3 linked regions of the Tribolium castaneum genome follow. The protein of the gene in region 2 purifies or fractionates together with the protein of the main gene of each other region. This does not show direct contact. Links are inferred from orthologs where the notes say so. Each region holds a gene or a part of one and is shown on either strand. Other genes may lie near its edges.

Evidence for each region.
Region 1: the proteins of Rab11 (region 2) and nuf purify together in Drosophila melanogaster (affinity purification with western blotting; 5 studies listed by BioGRID, with this or other methods). This does not show direct contact. The link is inferred for Tribolium castaneum from reciprocal best matches to the Drosophila melanogaster genes Rab11 and nuf.
Region 3: the proteins of Rab11 (region 2) and didum purify together in Drosophila melanogaster (affinity purification with western blotting; 4 studies listed by BioGRID, with this or other methods). This does not show direct contact. The link is inferred for Tribolium castaneum from reciprocal best matches to the Drosophila melanogaster genes Rab11 and didum.

Annotation. Positions count from the first base shown.
Region 1 is NC_087394.1:30,314,494-30,322,678, reverse strand, and holds the start of nuf (rab11 family-interacting protein 4A), read left to right. Parts: upstream 1-3,336; 5' UTR 3,337-3,450; coding exon 3,451-3,597; intron 3,598-3,982; exon of another isoform or gene 3,983-4,084; intron 4,085-4,205; coding exon 4,206-4,344; intron 4,345-7,265; exon of another isoform or gene 7,266-7,500; intron 7,501-8,185.
Region 2 is NC_087397.1:10,553,106-10,561,265, reverse strand, and holds the start of Rab11 (ras-related protein Rab-11A), read left to right. Parts: upstream 1-3,258; 5' UTR 3,259-3,494; coding exon 3,495-3,534; intron 3,535-3,827; coding exon 3,828-3,949; intron 3,950-7,500; coding exon 7,501-7,986; 3' UTR 7,987-8,009; intron 8,010-8,056; 3' UTR 8,057-8,160. Other genes in the region: wts (serine/threonine-protein kinase Warts), read left to right, coding at 1,282-1,710.
Region 3 is NC_087396.1:13,112,868-13,120,941, reverse strand, and holds the start of didum (unconventional myosin-Va), read right to left. Parts: upstream 4,850-8,074; 5' UTR 4,681-4,849; coding exon 4,654-4,680; intron 2,071-4,653; coding exon 1,743-2,070; intron 1-1,742.

The DNA of each region.
Region 1 (8,185 bases), on a different chromosome or scaffold from region 2:
CAGATCGTTAATGCGTTACCTGCAACACGGCGGTGCGTGGGGCCCCCGTCCTCCGGCGCCGGTCCTGAGCCTGAGCTGGCCTCACATCTCGCACAACACGCACCACAACTCGATCACCGCACGGCTCTGGTGTCACTCTTGTGTATGTGGTGACGCCCCAAGTGAACACACGGGACACAGGACAGGTACCACACGGGCTGTGGCTCAGCACTGCGCGCTCCTGCAATCAATAGCCGGCCGGGACACACTGAGGGCTCCTGCCACCACAGTCGCGCCCTTCTGACGCTCTCTGCGACGCCTCACAGATGACGCCACTTCACGAACGCCACCCCCGAAGCGAGAACAACGGCCAGGCGCCGCGACGCCGGAGGACGGGGCTGGAGGCGTGCGCAAACTTCACCTGGAGAGGTGGCCCGGTTTCGGATTAAGATCAGGAAGCCCAGGAGTGGCTGCGGCTGCAGACGGGAGTAGGGCACTAGTGGGACTGACGGATTCCTTTGATTCACCACGCCGATAATAAATTCAATTCAGCCAAAAAGAGATGGACATGTACAAAGAACTTTATTTTAAATTTAGAACTTTGAAGACTTTAACAAAATGATGGTCCACTCCACAGCAAAGAAACAGTATGAACAAACAGTACAAAACCAAGCGTTTCTGTTTAAACTATTCATTTCCTGAAAAAATAATTAGTGCGTCTTCTTAAAAAACGGTAAAAAGATAATTGTTTTTCAAGATTAAAACTAAAGGATATTTCAAAATTTTACAAAAAATGTATTAAATATTTAAGACTTAAGCACTTAAGACCAAATGAGTTATAGTTGTGCTTAATAAATTTGATCGATTTTTGCTGAAACTAGAATAATACGAAGTCTGCTGAAAATCGTTTCAGCAAATAAATTTTGTTCTGAATTCAAAAAAAAATAGTACAAAAAAATTAGGGAAAAAATAAAAGCAAACTATAAAAAACCTTCTTAGAGAAAAGCTTGGTAAGCTTTGCATAATAGATATTATAATATACATAGTATTGAATAACTTGCTCTATAATTTTGTAGAAACAACAAACAATTAACACATAAATGATTTTATAATAAGAATCAGTCCATTCTAATAAATTTAATGTTATTAATACAATTTTTTGCCTTTTGATTTAACTTTGGCGTTTTGCAGTAAGATGTGACATTTCTGAAAAGCCCTAAAAATTATATAACAGAATTCCCTTTTTAAACCGTAACTTTTCCCAGAAATAAAATTAGACAAGGTCGTCACGAAACTTTAAATATTTAATGCGAGAAGACAGATTCAAAAAAATTTGGTGTAATAATAAATTTTATTTTATTTTCATTAAACCTTAAGCTAATTTTTTTTTAATAAAACAACTTTTTTATAAATAATTCACCCACACACGTAATTTTCCCCAAAAACGTCACGCGAATCAAATTAGCTTAGCTTAGTTTATACAGTTTGGACGTGCCTTAAACTACGGATATATCTTTTTTATCTTATTAATTTATAATGTGTTAAATTTTGTCTATATTTTAGTGAATTGTAATCAAATAGCTACTAACAGAGACAGTGTTGGAATAAAATCTTACTCTGCTTTACTTTATAAACACGACATTGTAAGTCATTTGCATGTTCATGTTGAAAAAGTAGGCAACTTCCATTAACGTCGTCGTTAGTAACAATAAAAATATTTAATTTTTCTATTCTAATTTAAATTTTACACAAAAGACGGTCGGAACACTCGACTCAAGTGTCATTAAAAATACATCAAAGGGTCAACTTGAAAAATTCCCAACACGAAATATTTACAATGAAAAACGTCTGTAACAAAAAAATGCAAACATGCGTCCATGAATTTATAAAATGTGGACATAAAATTGATTTTTTCAATTTCTCACTCAAATACTAAATTATAATCCTTTCAAACATCTAATACTTATTTTGGACACTTCTGTAATTTATTTATTTGATTAAATAAATTCTAAACAAGACTACAAAAAACAATAATTGTAATTCATTTCAAAACGAGAATTTAAATTAATTTTTACGTTATCTTTGTTACCTGGTGCCATCTATTGATTATCTGTTCAAAGTTATTCAGCCCTTGATAGTTTTCTATTCCAATACAATTTAAAAAATATTTATAAAACATAAAACAACTTAGTTCCACAATTTTTTATACATGTTAATAGCGTATATGTTATATAAAATTTACGAAATATTAAATATTTTTTCATAATTATTTACAATAAGCACAAAAATTATGATCAAAAATTACTGAAACAACAATTATTGATGAAACCGAAACCGTATTTCATGTTTATGGGGCGTATCAACATTTCTTAAACTTTCAAATAAAAATAAACATGTTGCTAATGTGCATACATATTTTTTAGCCCAGTTTAAGGTAGGTAGTACATAAAAACTAACAAACCATAAAGTATTATACTTCTGATTAATTTCCACACTTTCCCCCTATTTTTTAATGATTTATTGACAAAATATTTTTTCCAATATAGTCTAATTTAGTAAACAATAAACATAACTTTTAAGTCAGTGAACTTTTCTAATCACTACATTGCTTAAAAAGAAAACACACCAACAATACACCTGTTAAGATATTCAAATATTCAGTTGCGGTTTAAAGCATCATTAGCTGCTCTGATGTGTGAGTTACAAACAAATGATCTTATAAACCTCGTAAGGTACAATTAACTAAAAAAACTAAATTCAAGGTGAAACTCGGAAAAAGAGTATATTTTGATCAAATTCCACATCAACGGCGTGAAATAGTGCTGTTTAATTAACACGAATTTTGCCCAAACAGAAAGTAGCGTTTAATTGTTTTAATTTTTCCAATGGTTTTCATTAAAAGTGAAAAGAACGACTACAATAAATTACAAATCATGATGAAAATTTATAAGAGTAATTTTCTCTTGACATTTCTTAAGAGTACGAGCAAAAAGTTTTATCGATTAAGCCATAAATTTTATTGGCACAAAAATGGCAACCAGCACGAAAGCACATTTCCATGTCAATGTTCAGCAACAAACAATTGTGAAAAATATTAAAAATAAATTGGAACAGCATTAATGTCAATTGCAAGCAATTTAGCTGGTGATAATAACTCCAGTTAAGTATTTAATTTTCTCGTAGGCAATAATTTTCCACGCAATCTTTTTATTTCCACAGTTACTTTTATTTGCTGTAATTTTATTTACTATATTTAAAACAAGGACATCTGTAATTATGAAGCCCGGAAACACCTTCAGTGCGGAAAACGTACACTTTTATAGGTAGTACCATACTGTACCTAGTGGAACACGGACTGAGTCGCTTCCGCGCGCTCAAAATATTATTTTCAATCGCGATGATTCTTTTTTATACCAATAACTCTTCAGTGACTGTTAAATTGTTAAACAAAGACTCAAAAAATGGATAATAATGTTTAGTGAACAAAACAAGGTGTTGTCAGTGAAAGATTTAATGACAGTTTTTCGGTTGTGTGATCCCGACAGGACTGGCAGGATTAAAATAGATTATTTACAAGAACTTGCTCACAGTTTCACACCACAGACGGACCACCGTCAGGTATTAGCAAAACATAAAAAATCATTTATTTATTTTCACAACCAGGTTGAAGAAGTCAAAATATTTTTTAATTGTAGATAGTGACCTTGATCTAGAGTAATTATTTAAGTCTAGTTGTCTTAGTAATTTCTGTGGCACGACAGTAATTATAAAAAAATGCTTTAATACGTTTTTGATTGCTCTTTTACTTTGTTAAATAATGAAAAAATCTTCAACGTTCTTCGAAAAGAGAAATTCAAATTGAGTGCCTGTAAGCAAATCAGTGATTCACGATGTGTGCTTACTTCATATTACATTAACATCCGGTGAACTACAGAACAGTTTCCAGTTGGTAGAATTTACGGAATGTAAACCAATAAACATAGGGTAGGGGTTCAACATTTCGATAATGAGCGAGATAGTAGTTTTGTCACAGGAAATTGCGATATGTTCGAATATTTTATGAACTTGTTGCCGTTTCCTACGTGCAAAATTCGAATCAATGCTTCAGTGATTTACCGAAAATCACAAAAAACAACACACTTGAGAAATGTGATTATTGGTAGTTTAGCCATTGCACAATCAATTTCTCAATCATGTTATATAAGTAAGACAGTACATTGTCGCAGGAAATAAACAATATTCTTGATGAGCTGGATCCAAACGGATATGGAACGCTGTCGTTCAAGGAATTTTGTTCCGGTGTTCGTGCCATACGACGCCGTCAGAAAATTCAAGAAAGAAAGTATTCCTTGAGAAAACTCAAAGGTAAGTAAACGTTATTATGCGATAATTTATATCAATTTCTACTCACCAGTCAGAAATGACGGTGGAAGTACGGATATGCATAAGAAATCAGGACGGGTCGGCACCATCCGTTATTAACTATAATTAATTACTATTGATTTGAAGAAGCAAACGTGCATTTACTTTGAAAGTCACTTAGGCGATGCAATTTCAAAAGTAGATTGTTCTAAATAAATGGAGGAATTTTTATTTTAATAAAAAAACAAGTAAACCAAGAAATGTACGCAAACCAAAGGTTTCTTCATATTTTGTTCGCACCTCTAACTTGGATTATTATAAAATTTCATCTTGCATAAAGCTAAACAAATTTTTCTCATAAAATCAAAATCATCTCAATATATTAGGTAGGTAATTTTATTATTGTTGATAAAAATCTCACTAAAATAATTGTAACAATTAGTACTTAAATCAAATATTCATGTTCCAGTGATGGATGAAAAGTACAAATTTGTTTAATTGTATTGCTTTCTTTACTTTCCTCTATGTGGTGTAGGTATTATAGATATAATTTGCACACAAACCAAATACGTGTTCAATTGTTATTTTTTTTAGATTCCGTAAGTGGAATTAGTAATCAGTAATAACTAAATGAATGTATCAATGTATTATTGTTTATTATATCATGAAAATAAGCAACAATCGTAGATTGTGTAGACAACCAATAATACACAAAAGTATGAGCGTAGGACAATATTTAACAGAATAATCACAGTACAAAAATGAAAGTAAAACTACTAGGTATAGTTTTCAAACCGAATTAGTGCAGATTGACTAAATAATAAATCACTAAATAATGCTGTTGGTAACAGAAGATGATTAGCCTGCAGGATACAGTCTACTCTTGCCAATTCATACGATATTCCGCAAAAAATACAAATCGCAACTAAAATATAGTTCAAATAAAGGAAAATAACATTAAAAAATCTGAAGGCAAACACAAATGCAACCGAACTTGTCACCCTTCACGGGTCAGATTTCACCCGGAGGGCTTTTGAGTGGTTGCTATTTTCAGTCGAGAGTGACCCTTATTTCCATTACAACGGACGGATGTCGATGTCGTTATATGATACTTAATTTATATAACACTTGTAGCAACTTAAGGACGCACTACACTAAGGATTTCCGTTTGCTATGCTTGAGAAAACCCATGAGAAACTTTAAAATTTGTAAAGCCAAAGTTAACAGCTTCAAGTAATAATCGTAGGTATGTGAAAAAACAAGTAACATTACATTTACACGTGATGTGACTCAGAAGTGATTATAGTATTGTGATGCATGAAAATACTAGTAATTTACAAGCATCATAAACCTAACTACAAAGTGGTTTCCTCCAAAAATTAAGGAACTAATTTAATAAAATTATTCACGATTTTATCAATCGAAACGAAAGTTTGTATACATAATTTTGGGAAAGGTGGAGCAATGACCTCCTGCGATCACATACATCACACAAACAAGCAGAAAAAACTGCTGTTATGATCATTATTTAAATTACCTAAATTTTTTTTCGTAATTAGACGATTTTACAACCATAAATCTGAACGTCTTTTTTCTTTTCTCGTAACATTATTGTTTATCTATTAAATAAATTTAAACCATAAAGTAAACCATTTGAATACAAAAGTCTCTTTTATTGTTTATTAGCACAGTAATCTGATTTTTTTTAATAACGTGTACTGATCTAATTCTAAAAAAATATTTTGTAAATTGTTTTAGATGTATAACTTATTGGAATACTATTAGACTATTGCAAATTTTGTGTTAGTTTTAAAGATTTTTTCTAAGTATAAAACAAAATTTCATATTCAAAAGTTGTTGCGATTAAACAAGTAATTAAATTAAAAATGTGAAGGAAATTTTTATCTTTATTTAATAACAATTTGTCGAGATAATTTGTTCTCTTTCATGTCATAACTATTGTTGTTTCACTATTTTTTATTATTACTATATTATTAATTTTCAGTATGTGTATTCGCTACTCCATTCACCGAATTGTTTAGTCGTGGTTGTGAATTACGACACAATAATTAATTACAACAAAATTTATTATAGTTTTACGAATTTTTAATTGTAAGCATGTAGAGCAAAAAAGTTTCAAATATTCACTTTTTCTTTGTTTCCATCCAATTATCGTAAAACCCCAGTGTATAGGTATTTAAATCCATCTGCAAACTTATTTCGTGGTATCCATAAAAGTGCTTGTTACTTATGGCTGTAGTCGGATGATGAAATAAATCACAAAAATAAAAATTTATATAAATAATATGGTAGGATATAAATAGAGTTTTTAAACGTACATTTGTTTATTATGACTAATACGTAATAATAATAATAATAATAATAATAATAATAATAATAATAATAATAATAATAATAATAATAATAATAATAATAATAATTTTTCCGGCGCATCCACCAAAAGTAAACAGCCCCACTTTATTATTTGCAACTATCTAATAAACCAATTATATTTTTTCTTTATTTCATAAGTCCAAGTACCCTAAATAAACAATGCAGTTTTATTTGTATAACCGGTAAAGGGTGTTCACTTTTGGTGGATGCGCCGAAAAAATTATTATTATTATTATTATTATTATTATTATTATATTAATAATAATTTAATTAATAATAATTAATAGATAGATAGCATTTTGATTCTTTAATGCACTTATTTGTTCTAAGTCTCAATACATATCATTTCATATCAGTTCACAAATTAAAATCAAAAGTTTTGTGATAAAAATCTTATCAGTTCACACAAACACGATCTTCCAAATATTTGTCCACCCACACAACCGTTTGAGTGTCGCTGATTGTTCAAACACAGGTGAAACACTCTGTGCGCAAGCTCCCCATCATCACCGTCAAATTCTTCCCACTTCAGATTCTTCAGTCCGTTTCCACATAGCAGCAGGTGAGTGTATGTGGACACCGACGAACTTGTATTTCCTTTATTGTTATCCACTCTATCAATAAACATTTAAACAAAACTGCTCTTCAAACCGTGGAATGTTCTTGTGGACTAGTGTAGTGAAGTTAAAATAGCGCAAACCTGGGTTTACCTTGGATGTTAGAACCACCTAACGTGCATTACACCTGTTTTTTATTTACAAACAGGTAAGATTGCTAGGTAAAACCGAGTTCTTTCCTTCAGTGGATACGTTGTTTGGTTATCCAAGTGTTACCTAATTTGTAGAGGCTTTGATTTTTTTTTTATTATAGGCTTTTGCGTAGGTGTTAAGTTAATGCATACAATAGAAGCAACGTACGCGCAGATATTAAGATTCATTGGCTTAAATTACAATTGCCTTGCTCCCCTATAATTTAATTTAATCACTTCAATAATAATTAAGGCGTCACATCTTCATGAATTTGTAAAAGGTGGTTTACATACTCATGGGTTTTGGCAATTTCACTTAAATAGTTTAAGAAGAAAGTTTCACCCATTCTGCACAATAGACGACAGAACAATCCATTTCGCGATTATTAATTAACGTTACTAAACCATTACTCACCTACATACAATTTTAATAAACGGTGTATTATGTTTGTTATATGGCCTGTTGTAAGGCAATTTCGGAATGCAGTACTCATTTCAAGCTTTGTTAAAAGTTAGTTGATTTTCTTTTTTTCGGGGAAAGTGGGATGGTTGAAACAATGGTGATGACTAACTTTGAAAAAATCCACTCGATTTTGGGTGAAATAACACTGTAGTCCCACCTTAATTGAGGCATTAAAAGCGAAAAAGACTGAAGGGTTGGACGTGAGCCATAAAATGTGCAATTACGTGAATGTGGCTTGA
Region 2 (8,160 bases):
GCGAATCCAGAAATTTATTTTGGGGGGACTTCCAAAAATTTTTAGACATGCTATTAAATGAAACTTTACGGTCGGTATGTTAAAATATTTAATGAATTTGAAAAAAAAAGCTCAAAACATTTTTTATACAAAAAATGATACAATTCAATTTTCTTTTTTTTTAATGAAAACACCTTATATTTTATGCATTTTTAGATATACATGGTTGTTAATCAGAATGTTGTTTTTTACTATTAAATTTTGAAATACTTGTCAAAAAAACATTTTAAAAATATAAAAAATACAACAGAATATGTTTACCTAAGGGTGTTTAAGTAAGTTTGAATAATAAAAATTTCTGGACATAAAAAGAACTTTTAAACATAAAATACTTCCTTGTTTTGGATTTCGAGAATCTTCCTATAATATTTTCTTAAGTAATAATAATTTATTTATTAGTAATAAATAGTTAATAAATGTGCATTATAATGACTTCTAATGTTATTAATTTAAAAAAAAAAATTGTTCATTACACTTTATATTTATTAAAATTTATAAAAACAATGAAAACTGAAGTTTTGGGGCCATACCCTCTAGGATGCCTCTGGATCCGTCCTTATTTGAACTCTTTAATTTTGTGAGTTCGTGAGTTCTGCATTTACTTTTTTTGAATACATTAATTAAGTTCATGTGGTCTCATTCTACGAATTTTTTTGTAGCCACTTACGATACGTGTTTTAAAATCGTATGTGCATGTCTATTGTCTATTTTATTTTATATTATTTCTGTTTTAGATATCTATCTAAAATAATGCTGCTTGCATTGAAGATGAAGTATTTTTGAAATTCTTGATTTTTGAAATCTATAAGTAGGGGTCATTTGTTTTTTTAATAACACATACATTTTTCCAATTTTAATTTTTAACTTCCACGTATATCTTTTTTTAGTCCTGTCGTTATTGTGATTATTTTCTTTTTCAATATCCTAGTGAAGATCCTTATTACTATACCTCACAGATATTACATTTATGTTTAAAAGTACTTTTAAAACCAAAATAAGTTTCATGTAGGTTCTATGTCACTGTTGAAAAAACTGAAAGAATATTTGTCATGTTTAATGTTTTTTTTGTTTTAAAGCTACATGGCTTCGTAAAATGTTTTATAAATTAATTTTCTTATTGTATACTATTTCTTCGATAAATTATTCAATTAGAAATGCACGTAATTCAGATATATTGCCTTAATCTCAAAGCCGTATTGATCAGGAGTGGCGTTGAAATCTGACGATGTTTGTTGATTTTAGGTGATAAACTGGGAGACGACGTTGCAAATACCAAAGCAAGCGAATCTTTCCAAGGAAAGTACTGACTTGATATTAAAATTGTGTTGTAGTGCGGACAAACGCTTAGGTAAAAATGCTAGTGAAGTGAAGTCGCATCCGTTCTTCAAAGACATCGATTTCGACCGAGGTTTGCGTCGCCAGCCGGCCCCGCACATACCTCGAATCGAATACCCCACAGATACGTCAAATTTCGATCCGATCGATCCCGACAAGTTACGAAATTCGGCTTCGATCGATTCGAGCACTTCCGACGAACTGACCGATAGTTCTAAGCCGTTTCACGGCTTTTTCGAATTCACATTCAGGCGTTTTTTCGATGACGGAGGTGGTCCCGCTTTTAATAAAATCAGTCTAGACGATAATGACAATCAAGGCTCTGTGTATGTGTAATCTTCTTGGAAATGTTCCGAGATGGACCCTCGGAACATGGATTTTCGCTCGGTTTTTGCTCTTGCCAACTGGAATTTGTACGCAAGATTGTGTTTTTGCTCTCGTGTCTGGTTAGTTCAAATAAGGACTCCTAGGCCTTATTTAATGATGGTTTAGCGCCGCTTTCGTTACGGCACGCTTTTGAAGTGTGGCGTAACGGGGGCGGGGCTTGTTTTGCAACCAAAGCCTTAAAATAGCTGCCTTGTTCTACTTTTTATAGGAAAGCTCAAATTTTCATACTTTGGTAAGAACTGAAAGATTCTATAGTACAATTCGCTATTTGAATTAAAAAATTGTATAGCGTGTAAATTATTTAAAAATTGAAGAAATGGTGCTAATTCTTATTCATACGTTAAATGTGATATCCACTGAATGTCTATAAAAATTATTTCTGACTTGTTGGAGTGGTTGTTCTATTGCATTTATGTCGAGCTTTAGAGGCCTGGAACGCGAAGAAAGACCTCGATAGGCGGGGCTAGTGCGCAGTGGCGTAGCAATTAACTATTTAAATTGATACTTCCTACTATTCGTCCATATATTCAGTCGTAGCAATACAATAGGTACAAAAAGTTACATCTTGTTCTATTACACAAGAATAAAAAATTGTTATTTATTGTTTTGTAACAAAATAAATTCATAGATTGTTTGCGCACCCCCACCATCGCGGTCATTCTGTCATTTCACGGTCTCTACGGCGTCAACTGGCATTTAATTAAAAACAATTGGAATCGTTGAGGTGTTGTCACTGTGACTGAGCAGTTTTGAAATGTTTTTATGGACAGTCAGTTGTATGCAACAATAAATTATTATTGTATATTATGTACAATACTCTAGGGATTTGTAAATATAATTATATCGTCGAAGTGTAATGGTCGGTCTAAAGGTACTAACTAACCACTTGCGGGGTTTTTGTTAAGTTGTTAGATGGAAAAATTGTGAATTAGTTGAAGAGAGCAAGGAAAATTAACAAGCACTGCCTTTTTTAACTAAAAAGAATAAAAGCATTATTTAATAATCTTGCAGTAAATCAAAATAGTTTTGTAAGAGCATAATGTTTAATTTTTTTCTCAGAAAAAAAATGCTGTGTTACAATTAGTTTTAATGATACGCTCATAACTTAATGCTTAGTTAAATATTTATTACATTTCCCCTCATTCTAAAATTAATTTGTAACACCCTCCTAGCTTAAGTATGGATTAATTTAGCATATAATTTTTCTAGTCTATTGGAATTTTTTTATCGTTTAAATATATTATTGATTTAAATGTTGTTTATAGGTCATAATGTTGTTCCTTAATTATGCAAGAAAATAGTAAAAGCGTATGCACTTAGGAAATTATGATTTGAGTGCCTACATAGTGTAAATGTGTGTAAATAATTATATATTTTTGGAAACATCCCGTCTCTGATTTCCAACCTTGGGCTACGCCACTGCGTTGATGGGCAATGTGGCAGTGCACGCGCATGCGCAAACAATCGAAAATCTGACAGTTCAAAGGGGCGTTCTAATCTGCGAACAATAAAAGAAGAGTGGGTCGCCATTTTGTTCGCTATAAAATCGTAAAGATCTTACCAAAGTTATATAAAACATCCCTGACCGAAACCAAAACTTATCGTTTGAAATGTGTCTGTGATATAAACAGTGGAGTGTAAATAGCGGTATATTTGTGATATGCACTAATTGTCTGTGTGTTTTTATTTTGGTACATTTTGGAGAGGGTGCAGATCAGCTGAAGGGACAGAAAATGAGTTCGAAGGACGATGAATACGATTATTTGTTCAAAGGTAAGCGTCCAATTGGGGCCCTTGTTATCGCACTTTGACGTTGCGGACCTTGGAGGTAATTGACACTTGACGTAAATTTTGTTCCCGTGTGACAAGTCAGCAATGTCAGAGGTCAACTTTTCCAAGTCCTTACTCAAAAATAATCAATTAGAGCGGCATCAGGGGCCCCCTTCATGCCCCCTGTGCACCGGTCACGAACAACTTCAATTAGAATAATCAATGATTTTGGCTTTTAAACCGTACCTGACAGAACGGTTCAAAATGCAAATGTTTACGTGCCGCTTCCTTTGCAGTTGTCCTCATTGGAGACTCCGGGGTAGGAAAAAGCAATCTGTTGTCTAGATTTACTAGGAATGAATTTAATTTGGAATCAAAATCGACAATAGGAGTGGAATTCGCGACTCGTAGCATGCAGGTGAGTCGAACACCAATAACACAAAAGGTTACTGCATCTTATTTAGTCACGACTCGAATTTCCGTAAATATCATAGTCCCACTTGCTCAAATCTCTTACTCATATTATCAGATTCTGACAAATGCGGGTGGGTGTAAGTGGATGCATAAACAACTCAAGAGACATTATTTTCCGCTCTTTCAGTCTTGTGAAAGACGTCATAATCAGCTGGCGAAGATATCCCATTATCTTAATGCACCGTTGTGTCATTGTTGACCCACTGGGTTGTGAAAGTTGACATCCCATGGTACACATATCAGTCACCTAATTTGCATTATATTTTTTTAAATCGGAAATCTGGGTTAAGTAAGTGTTGTAGAAACGCAAAATTGAGCATAATATCCAGAACAGCTCATTTTAACACTGAACTTATGTGCGAACTATGAAAGATTACAACTGTTTTTGCTACACTCATTACAGCAACAATGAAAATGTTGCCACTAATGAGTATGACAAAGGAAAGTCGATCCCGTGTCTGTGATTCATCCATTTTTTTATCGTTGCCAATTGGGTAACAAAATTTTGATATTATCTAAAGTGCTATTCGGAAAACATGCCCCAGTTTGGCTACAATTTAATGGTAATTTGTGCTCCTATTCGTTTCTGTACATGACGTCACGCTTGATTAAGTTAATGTGGAAAATTTAATAAAGAAATTGGTGATTTTTTTCGTTCACCAGAAATACGTAATTTAAGGTGATGGGTGAAATATCGTTCGTGTTCCAGACGTAATTTCGTAATTAAATGATTCCATACAACATTCAACTTTTCGTGAATATTTTTAACCATTATTGATTAATATTTCACTGTGATTGCTTTCCTGAACGTTGAAGACTTCCTCGTTTTACAAAAAACAGTTTGTTTTGTGAACCATTTATCACATAATTTTATTATTGATTAATGTAGCCTGTTTGAAGACACAAATATAATGGTTAGTAAATAGGCAGTGGTAGATTAAAACTGTCTAGCAGAAGTTCAGACTACCCAAAACATGTTTTCGAACATTTATTTACAAGGAAATAAAATGACCCTCCACTTGTCATGAGAAATAAATTTGCGGCTCAGCCCTAAGGATATTGACCGCCATCAAACGTCAACATACAAACAGTTTTGGAACTCTTGTAAACGAAATATAGTGCAATCGATTTTTTAAGAGTTTTGCGAGGTTGAACCATAACTTGACTCTAAATAAAAAATACACTTCACTGACCATCTATTTTGTTTAAAACTTTAATAAGGTTTTGTCTCTTCAGAGTTTTCTTTATTATAAAAACATGTATCAACAAAAAAACAATCGTTTCGCATACGTTGTATGAAAATAAAAGTTTGCTCTTGTCGATCTTTTATTTATTATTCAATAATTAAATGGGTGGAGTTACACTGAATGATCTAACATTTAAGAATCTTTGAATAAAAAATTATGGAAAACCGTATGTGTTTATTTATTTGCTTGATGTCATTAAGTTTGAATTGAAATTTGTTGCATATACACTTACTAAGTGAAAAAAAAGAATAATTGAAGAAATTTTAATGTATTATCGCTATTAAAGATTCTTCAGAAGCTTTTACTCTTCTTATGAACCATCATCTAAGTTGTTAAAGATAATTTACGATATAATTAACTTATACGTTATTTTATGTGAGAAAAAATATTTAAACTCGTATCACCTTTATTTTATCCTATCAACTGACAGGAAACAGAAAAAAATGTCTGTAACATCTAATAATTCAATTCTCAGAGATGCATCAGTTTTTCCTCGGTTGTTGAGTTTGTTACATAATGATTTTGTGTAACATTGAATACCTATTAAAAAAGTGAAGTATAACTATTAAAGCTTTCTTAACGACATTTATTGTTAAGTTATAAAAAACTGTCAATTACGGTAAAAATGTGGCGTCGCGTTATTTTATTTTACTTTAAAAATTATTATTAATTACATAAGTTTTTATCAAAACCTTCGTAAGTATATCGGGCATAGTATGTTTGCTTATTACAGTTAGTTGCAATAAAATAGGAAAATTGAATTCTCTTTAGATTGTAACAATTTATCTTTATCACATTCATACAATTTTTCTGCAATGTTGCAGTTATATCTTTATTTTTTATCTTATAAGGAGACTATTGGCCCACATAATTTGATGCCTTCGTCAAATTTATCAAATTGTGATTAATTTGTGTTTGTTTGGAATCATCTGTCACATCGCAAGTAAGAAAAATATAATATTAGATAACATTTTACAAGAAAAGTAAAAACATTATTTCAATTATTGTGAGTAATAAAGCAAGAATTACGATGAATTTAAATTTTGACCTTGCTGAAGATGATTATTCTGAGGTGCTAGAATTTATGAGTATTGTATTCGGCGTCAGGTATATCGAACAAGAGAGTATTTTGATACATTAATAATAAATGCAGCCGAATTCCTTTCAAGATTATAATTTACATTAATGTTAAAAAATGCAAATTCGCATTACATAATAGAAATTAAATTGTAACTGATTCTTTGTGATTTTTATTTCAGCCTGCATTGTCTATCTTCCAGTTTTTTTGTTAGGTTTCAAGTTTTCTAATTCCGTCTTGAGTTTTTTACTATTGTGCTGTTTATATCTTTAAGGCCGACAACTTGTATTTTTTTGATAAAATGCCTTTAGATGAGGTTAAATTTGGGCTTGGGTCTTCTTACTGAGCTCCATTTTGTTGAATTGTGCTAACGGAATGGTTTTTGGATTAAACCACCGTTTAGAAATAATAAATAAATACGTGCGTGCGAATCGTTATATACTTTTCGTATCATAATATACTATTATATACTAATACACTATTATTTAACGAGTTTAAGTGTAAATTGGACGTTTTATTTCACGAGTAGATAATCAAACCACGAGTTAAAACGAGTGGTTTATCATTCACGAGGTGAAATACATGACCCGATTCACACGAAAAGGAGTTGAATACAACATTTTATTTTTCAAATTAGACTTAAGATCGTTAAAAATTGCTTTAAATCTGTTAAAAAAAATCTGACGTTTCGTATTCAGAAATGCCAAACAGTTGTCAAAACTTTCTTACACAGGAGAAAAACCGAAAGCACTTGTTTAAAATATGAAAATATAAAAAATGTGACTTTTTTTTTCAAAAAATTAAACTTTTTTTAATGATTTTTCGCTTGTAATTTTGTGCCAACTGACACTTGTATGCTTAAGTTGTTACTTTTAAAGAGATCGAATTTGTTCTATTTGTTGTTAAATTTTAAATGCTTTAAACACCGTTTATTGCAACTTGTGAAACGTATTATTTTAAAATTATCAACTGTTGTGACAATGATACTTAAGCACAATTTATTTCAATGAATTTTTGCAATAGCACCTTGACAAAACCGCCCGACTATGCATAATTTTCCATATTCGTAACTGTTGATGGTGGCATTTTTACGAGTGTCGGAAACGACCGACATGAATCTAATTTTAACCCATGTCTTGAAAGATGTAAGCAAACTGTGGCTGTTTGCAGGTCGATGGTAAAACAATAAAGGCACAAATCTGGGATACGGCAGGACAGGAAAGATACCGTGCCATCACAGCGGCGTATTACAGAGGGGCCGTCGGTGCTCTGTTAGTCTACGACATTGCTAAGCATTTGACTTACGAAAATGTGGAGCGTTGGTTGCGTGAGCTCCGGGACCACGCGGACCAAAACATCGTGATCATGTTGGTTGGCAATAAATCGGATTTAAGGCATCTACGCGCCGTCCTAACCGAGGAGGCGAAAGCTTTCGCCGAAAGAAACGGCCTCTCATTCATAGAAACGTCAGCTCTTGATTCGACCAACGTCGATTTGGCTTTCCAGAACATACTCACAGAAATCTACCGAATCGTATCACAGAAACAAATCAGAGATCCTCCCGAAGGCGACGTTATTCGACCACATAACGTGGAACCAATAGACGTAAAACCAACGATGAACACGGATGGTGTGCGCAAGCAGTGCTGTCAGTAGTGTACTACACTAGCCCTACACAGGTGAGGGTTAACTAGTCGAGTTTTGGGTTTAATTTCTCTTGTTCTAGAATTCTGCATCATGTAGTGAGCCTCTGTACCACCCACCCATGGCTATTTGTGTTTTTGTTATAATTTACATAAATCTGAATGTCCTAATGCTAACATATTGTGA
Region 3 (8,074 bases), on a different chromosome or scaffold from region 2:
TGGCATATGCCAGGCTATAATTTTACTATCCTTGAAAGGCATCGAAAATGCCATCAATCTCTCATGGTTTTTACTAGTTCTGTTTAACAAACAAAATTTTGTAGCAAATTATTACTAACGTTGTTTTAATATCGTTGCGGTGTGTGCTGTTCCATTATTTTTATGTGTAGCTAAAAGATTAAATATCGTCTTACGATATGCACGATTTTTCTAATTTTGCGGTTATTTACTTACTCTCGTGTTTGCACAACATGAGTCATATTATTTATCGCAAATTGTAGGTGTTATCGCGGTGATAATAGCATGATATAAACAATGAGCGTTCGCTAATACCTTGACAATTTTAATTTCGTTATAAAACCGGTATTAAAGTCTATTACTGCAAAATGATTACAGGATGTGAGTAACTAATTTTGGTTCCCACCAGCATTTGACCGTTGGTGTAGTCCTAAATTATACCAATCTAATTGTAAATAGGAATAATCAAAAGATACAAGAAAAACAGATATAATGCCTCTGGTACACCTTAAAGTTTTAATTCCTGTTTCCCACAATTCATCGAGTGAATGTTTCACGAGTCTCAACTTTCAAATTTTTCGTAACATTTTAAGATTCGCGATATAGAAAGTAAAATCCCTATGAATACAATGGACCAAATTACAGAGTCTAGACGTTTTTGTGACATTTTATTTCTTTTAATTTTAATTGCTAATAATTTATTTTGAAGCGGTGGATTTTTACAGGGCGAATTTTTGTCACCTAATAGATAGTTTAAAATGGAGAAAGTCGACGACTTTTTTTAACTTTTGGCAGTTAGGTTGGTAGAAATAGTAAAAATGTGAAAAAATTAGTTCAAAGCTCGCAATTTAATATCGTTTTCACATGCATCGGCATGGATCGTTATAAAAAATTGTTTATTTTAATTAGTACGGTAAGTACGCTGTTTTTTATTCTACTTAATTTCCCAACCTTGATTTTAGTTCACGTGGGTGCAGCCAGTTTACTTTTAATAATAATTCTTTTACTCACTGACAGCGTATCTGATTTTACCTTTAGCCTTTTGGGTTTTAATAGTAGGACGAATAAATACAACTCGTACTAGGTACACGTAGGTTTTTCGATTTAAATTTTAATCAGTTATTTTTTCAAATTGCGTGAATTTGAAGCGACAAAATAAGTCATGCTCTGAATTGTAGTTTGTAGTATTCTTGCGGTTTCTCTGAAGACTCGCAACTTTGTAAATTGTTTGGGTTTTTCCTTCAAAACAAAGGAAACGGTCTTATTAGAATGTCACTTAAGACGTGAGAGGCCTTCTTGTAGTCACTGTTTCATAAGCTCGCAAATAGAAAAAGCATTGTTTGTTTTAATTAGTTGTTGTAATATAACGTCCAAACAAACCCCCACATTGCAGACGTAAAAATCAATATCAACAAACACTCGGTCAATATGCCTTCAGTTATGTGGGTCAATTTTCAATGAAAATAAATTAATAATAAAATTGTGTATGCAACATTGTTTATTTTAAAGTAGCCGTTAAAATCAACAAAGAATCACGGTATATTTATTTTTGTAGTAAACAGAAACTGTTTTTGTAGGTTTGCAAAAATACTGGCACAGATTCGCTAAATTCCATTTAATTAATAAATTCATTACGTATTCACGGACAGAAAAAATCCATTCATGCATATTTGTGTCAGGCAATTAGCACTTTTCCTCGTAACATAACGGTTTTAACAACTCACCATAAATAGGAAGATCATCGTAGGGATTAATTGCCACCAAAACAATCCCACAATAGGTGTAAATGTATCGATTTTGGCAGAACCGTACTTGTAAATTGTAAAGTACGGCGGGCTCGTGTAAGTAGGAGAGGGATGTAAGGTCATTTTCCCCGACTAAAATTGAAGGGTTCCTCAGACAGGGTAAATCCGATTCTGATTTGATCGTAAGGGTTTTCTTTTCGTTGTTTTCTGTTACTACTTCAAGTGACTTTTTGTTCGTTTTGTAGTCTTCTTCAAGTTCAGCGCCTTCCCATACTTTTTCAGGGTGAGGTATCCATACCTTGGCACCCTGAAATTAACACAATAATGTGATGATAAGCTCTAGACAAGATAAATGTTTATGAAGGAATGATTATCGAATGAATCATGGCAAAAATGGGTCTTTGACATCGAAACGGATGCTATCAATCGCCACTGTCAAGCCCTACATTTCGTTATTCCGCCGCAAATTGCATGAAAATGTTCCGTTCGAGCGACAATAATTCAATGTTCTTGAATGCTAAATTGGAAAAACAAACGAGATTACGTTTTACGGAATTTGTTTGAACTTTAGACGGCCAAGTTTGAGGACATAACGGTATTGTAACGAAATGTGTGCTTTCGTCATTGGAAATGTATGAAAGTAAAAAAATGTTTACCAGAGATAACTACAAAAGTGTGACCAAGCCTTAAATTTGCTATCGAGCAAAATAGATATTGCAAAAATAAAAAAGTTCCGTACATGGAAGTGATTTTTACAGTGTTCAACTTTCGATCATGATTTTTATAAAAGTCGCCGCACTCCCAACTGTTCAAAATAACAATATAACCAGTTGTTGGAAGTAATAGGTCGTACTTTCACTCTCAGATTCAGTTTGGTTAATTGGATTGTTATATAGTGCAGTCGGGAAAAAATTAAAAGCTTCATTTGCATGTTCAGTGAGACGAAAATGGCAACGGCAACATTTGTGGCATACCACACACAGGAAACAATAAATTTATGATCTTTTGTTTTTTGTAACAGGAGCAGAATTAATTTTTGTTACGTATTTTCATAATAAATCAATAGAAAATCGGTAACACCTTTTATGCTAAACCAAGGTTAATCGTAACTTAATCTCTAATTTATGAATTGGCGTAATGTTACTTTAGTAAATAAAAAAAAATTGGTGTATTTGCATCCCACGCCTAAATATCATATGTCCATTCAAGCGAAATTGTTTGGATTGTTTTTTCAATGATTATTACCTAAATTTATGGCACCAATTAATTTTCATAATACGCCGTATCCGTTATTGTTTCCACTACATGAATATGTTTCTGATTATTCAAATTAGAAACTAAAATTTGGGTATCTTCTGACTATGGGAAAACGATTTAATTTATCACATTATCATAAGCACTGCGGAAATCAACCCACTCTGACACAAATATTCAAATCCACTTAATTTTTGTCTAATCGCATAGCATAATTTTGATTTATTTTTGCAGTAACCAATAATAAACTTCACCGAAATGTCTCTAGATCCATTAAATTGGTGATAAAAAATCGAATTAAAGTTTAATTAATTTTTCGGAGCGTTAAAAGAGTGTTTACGATGTGAAGAAGACGTAATTATAACTAACGATGATCAAATTATTGATTTAGGTTTAATTGGAGCAATGAGGCCAATATGCCAGTTTTTGTAACTAAGTAGAATTAGATTATTGGAACCAATTAATTAATGAAACGTTACCATTCACTGCATGCATGAGAAAATTCCAAGATCTCAGATCACTCTCACTTTATTGCTGGCAACATCAATGGTCGTGGGTAATTTGAAAAAATGGTTACCTTGGAATAGGGTTAATTTATAGTTTCAAGTTTATCAGGTGTATTAAAGTGAAGTCTTTTTATGAGCTTCAAAAGGTAGTTTAATTATTTTACATCGTTATCGTTTACTTTATTTATATTTTATCAAAAAGTAACTAATTTGTTAAACAAACAGAAGTCTATTTAAGAAACAGCGCATCTTGCTGTAGTGTCACCATTTTATTTTCAAAAAAATAAATTGCAAAGTAATCTATGCCAATTTTACATTACTGTGAAGTATAGTTAGAAATTTATTAGTATTAATTTTTATCAGTTAGAAAACAAAGAGAAATTTTGTCAACGTTTAAGCTTTAAATACACATTCATTCTGATTTATTGTGTTTCAAAATTTCCAAGTAATGCAAAGTAATAAGTAACAGCAATTAATAAATAATTACAACAAATAACTACATCTGATTTTCTCCCTTTTGTGATTTTAAATATTGTTAGGTTGGTTATTATTAGACTAGCAACATCGATCCAAAGGACTAGGACAACAAACTCAGTAGTAACTTCTGACTAAAGATTCTAAAAAAGAAAAGATTGTAATAATTCTATTCTGTAATAATTTTTATGGCATTTAAAAGACCACGTTGAGCCACGTTTCTAATAACCCGCGTTTGAATCAAAAACAATTCGCGATTTTTGTTGAATGCAAAACAAAAGCAGCAATATGTTAGCGATATTTTTCGCGAAAAGAATAATTAACAAAGGTTGAAATAGTAATGTTTCTTATCACTCTTATCATTCCTGTCTATCTTTTGGAAATATCCTCAAACATATTTATTGTAATGGTAACAATCGATCCAAAGGACTAGGACAACAAACTCAGTAGTAACTCTTCATTCAGGATTCTAAAAGGAACAATAGATTCTAGTATTATAGCACTTGATCGCGTAACAATAATAGGTTTCATGGCATTTAAAGGACCGGTTTTGGGCCACGTTTCTGACTCGCGCGTCTGTAAAAACTCCTTATCATGTTACCTGCAAGGTTTTTCGCGATTTTTTAACAAAGATAAATGCGACACGAAATTTTTACCTTTGTATATAGCTCCAAGGTAGTCATTTTGCACCGTTTTCACTGATCTTGTTCATAAATCATCAAAAAAAAAGTAATCAAACGAATAATCCGGAGCCAGCACAACCCGCCAACAAATAGAAAACCCTCTCGTGTATTATAATGGTAGTAAAACACACAACCTGCACCTACACGGCGCACCATGCGCACTAATCACTGCGTGGCTTATTTCGATCACTAGGAGTCATGTGTAAAAGTATGGATTTGGCGATTTGGCGCTCAAAAGAATTGCTAGCGCCCTCTGGGGATCACTAGGAATGAATTCCGGTTAGGTACGGGTGGATGCTACCGGAGTCGAGCCAGACGTGCTCGCAGGTGATGGTAGAGGGCGGCACTTACTTCACCGGAGTTTCCAATGAAAAATATTATTATTTATGGAATTTAATGATGAGCTGCGATGAATTTCCGAAGATTGTTTAATTTTTTAATTACAGAGTATGAAAATGTGCTGTTTTATTGTTTAAGAAAGTTGAAAATCAGGAATATTTACTTTTTGACTACATCAGGACTAATCAGATTCAAAAATGTTCTCTCACTCTAATGTCGTATTCTCACTTGCACACATTTCAAGAATCTCACAGTTACTTCTTTTATTGGATGTGAATTCGTCTAATCTACATGATTGTCTTTATTTATTTTAAAGTTTCTTTCACACATTATGTTGCAGCCTCATTTTGAGCTATTTTAACAAAAAACTTTTTTTCTGAGACCTGTATAGTACTACGAAATACAGTGGAATACGAAATACGACCTGCCTTCTCTGTAAACGTTTTTTTTCTGTATACAAAATTTTTTTTTCTAAATTAAACGCTGAGATTGAACCTCAACGTCTGTTAAATATACTGAGCTCTCTTATTATCTTATTCATCTATTTTTTTAATGAAATAGATGCAACTTTATTTTGTTCCTGAAATGAGTACCAAAACCGAATTTTAATAGAATTAATTGATCTTTATAAAAATGATAGTTAATTTTTGTCGTTTTTGCATTTCAAATAATTAAAAACTGATTCCTTTTTTTGCGGTACGTGTATTTTGTAAAATAGTTGACTGTACTCCTACTTGTACAATGCTACACTAAAATATGGTTAATTTTTGATTTCAAGATCGAAATGTCTACTCATTTGCATTATACATGACTGAAAATTTAAATGTAGATCCCTCTCTTGATTTTTTTCTATAAAACAAAGTAACGTTTTTTCACTCTTCACCGCTAAAGTTCGTAGAAGTCGTGTCATGTTTTAACGGAAATTTTCTGACAGGTCAAAGGTCGATGGCGTATGCCTAATTTTTTATCCTTGTTCTCACCGGAGGGCCAATTAGCATTTATTTATTAATCTTCCGATAATCTTAAACTTTGACTTTTAATATTAATCTCTTATTTTTTTAAATTATTGGGCATGAGAAATGCTTAAATGCCCCTCATTTGACTTGAGCAGCTTTAGCTTATCAATATGTGGGAAAAATGTCAAAATGCTTCCACAAGTAGCACTGTTGTTTTTTTTTCTATGCATAGATTAAAGCTACCAAAAATTGGCGAACATTCCGTTAGAAAAATCTTCATACGAATGAATACATTAGAAACTGGTTATTTTGAAAAAATCTAGCCCCAGGAAAATTTTGCATTTTTTAAGTGTCATGCTAAAGTTTAGGCCTATAATTTCTAAATTACCTCTTCACGAAACGTTAATCATATGCCATCCACGTAGCCGGGTCGAATATTAAAGTAATAAATCAAAATTATTTTAATAATAACCAGCCTCAGGCGTTTCAATTCCATACCCATCTTCGATTTTTGATTATCTTTAATCAGTTAATTATAAGTCTTAGTCCGCAGAAACCGTGTAAATACGGTACAATTCTCTAATTAGCGGTACCCATTAGTCCACACAATTATAATTTTAGCACTCAAGAATCTGGCGATTGTTATTATAATAATTCTTTCATTCACTAGTGCAAAAAAGTATAGAGCCGTTGAACTCGTAACAAATTGTTAGCATTCATCTATCCACGCGGATTTTATTACCATTCAAACCTATTATAATCGCAAATTGATTTGTTATACTGACAAATAAAAGTAGGGTGTAAATGTTACTTCTGGACCAGGATATTTGGCGCCTTAATAACAGGACTAAGAAAAATAAAAAGCTATTTCAGGTATTTTGAAGTTTTTTTAGGGTGCTCTTGAAGTAATCTCGTAAGATTTTGGGTGATTTTCAACGGTTTTGTCGTGTGATCTTTTTCAGGAAATTAGCTAAATTTTTAGGATTCAATCCTGTATTTAATAAAGCGCCAAATGTACTCGTCCAGTGGTAAGATTTTACATCCTAATAATAATTGTTAGTATATTTATGACAGAAAATTATACATTAAAAAAATTCTCATCAGGTGTGTGATTTTATGCTAATGGTTTTTTGTTAAAAAAATTAATAGCGTTTGTGGGGTCCGATAAGCCAATGTAACGGTAAGCATATCCAGTTTTTAATTTGGTATTGTGCCTTGGGCAATTTTGGGAAGATGCGAGTTTGTTTTAACGATTTCCTTTCATATTTGGACAAATCTCTCCAACTAATTAATCAGCGAAATTGCGGACACGCTAAAGAGATAATTTTCCGTCTTAACGTTAAACAGAAGCAGTTGCAATAATTGCACTGATTACAGCGTGTGCTTCACATCCGCTAAAAACAAATGTTAACTGTATGCACTAATAAGTGTAATTTTTCGAGTTGTTTTGTAATTATAAAGTGGCGGATGCATTCCCATTTTCAGTTTCGTTACCGCGCTTTGCGTGCTTCTTTACACGACTGAAGCGATCTCCCACTTAACTGTAATTTTTTAACCAGTTTTTACGGTATAATCGGATGCATCAGACAATTTGTTCAAAATAAATAAACGATAAAGTAACAAAATAAATCAATAATAATTATAATGCGGAGAGATCTTAACATACGATGCGGAACGGTACTTAATTATTTTATTTTCTTCGTGATGGTAATAGGCAATATTTAAGAAAACCGCGTCAGCAATGATGGTATTTATGTAAATGTTTTGTAATTATTTTAACGGTAAGAGAAATTCTCCAAAATCGCGATTGGAAATGTGACGAAACGTTAAATTTTTAATTAAGCGAGATTTCTTCAAAAATGTACGAGAAATGTGATCACGGATCCTAAAAAAACTCGATGGACTGTAATACGTTCAGATTAAATCCAGCCGGATCTGTCACAGTATTAATTTACTGTTCACCGTACGCTCCTGGAACGGCTAACGTTGCTGTAACCGGATATGGGGAAATTTTTCAGCGCTATTTATCTCGTCCTGAGCTTGAAGATTTACCTTTAGAATATGTTTCTATACGTAATCCTTTGTACCTTAATCTCTTA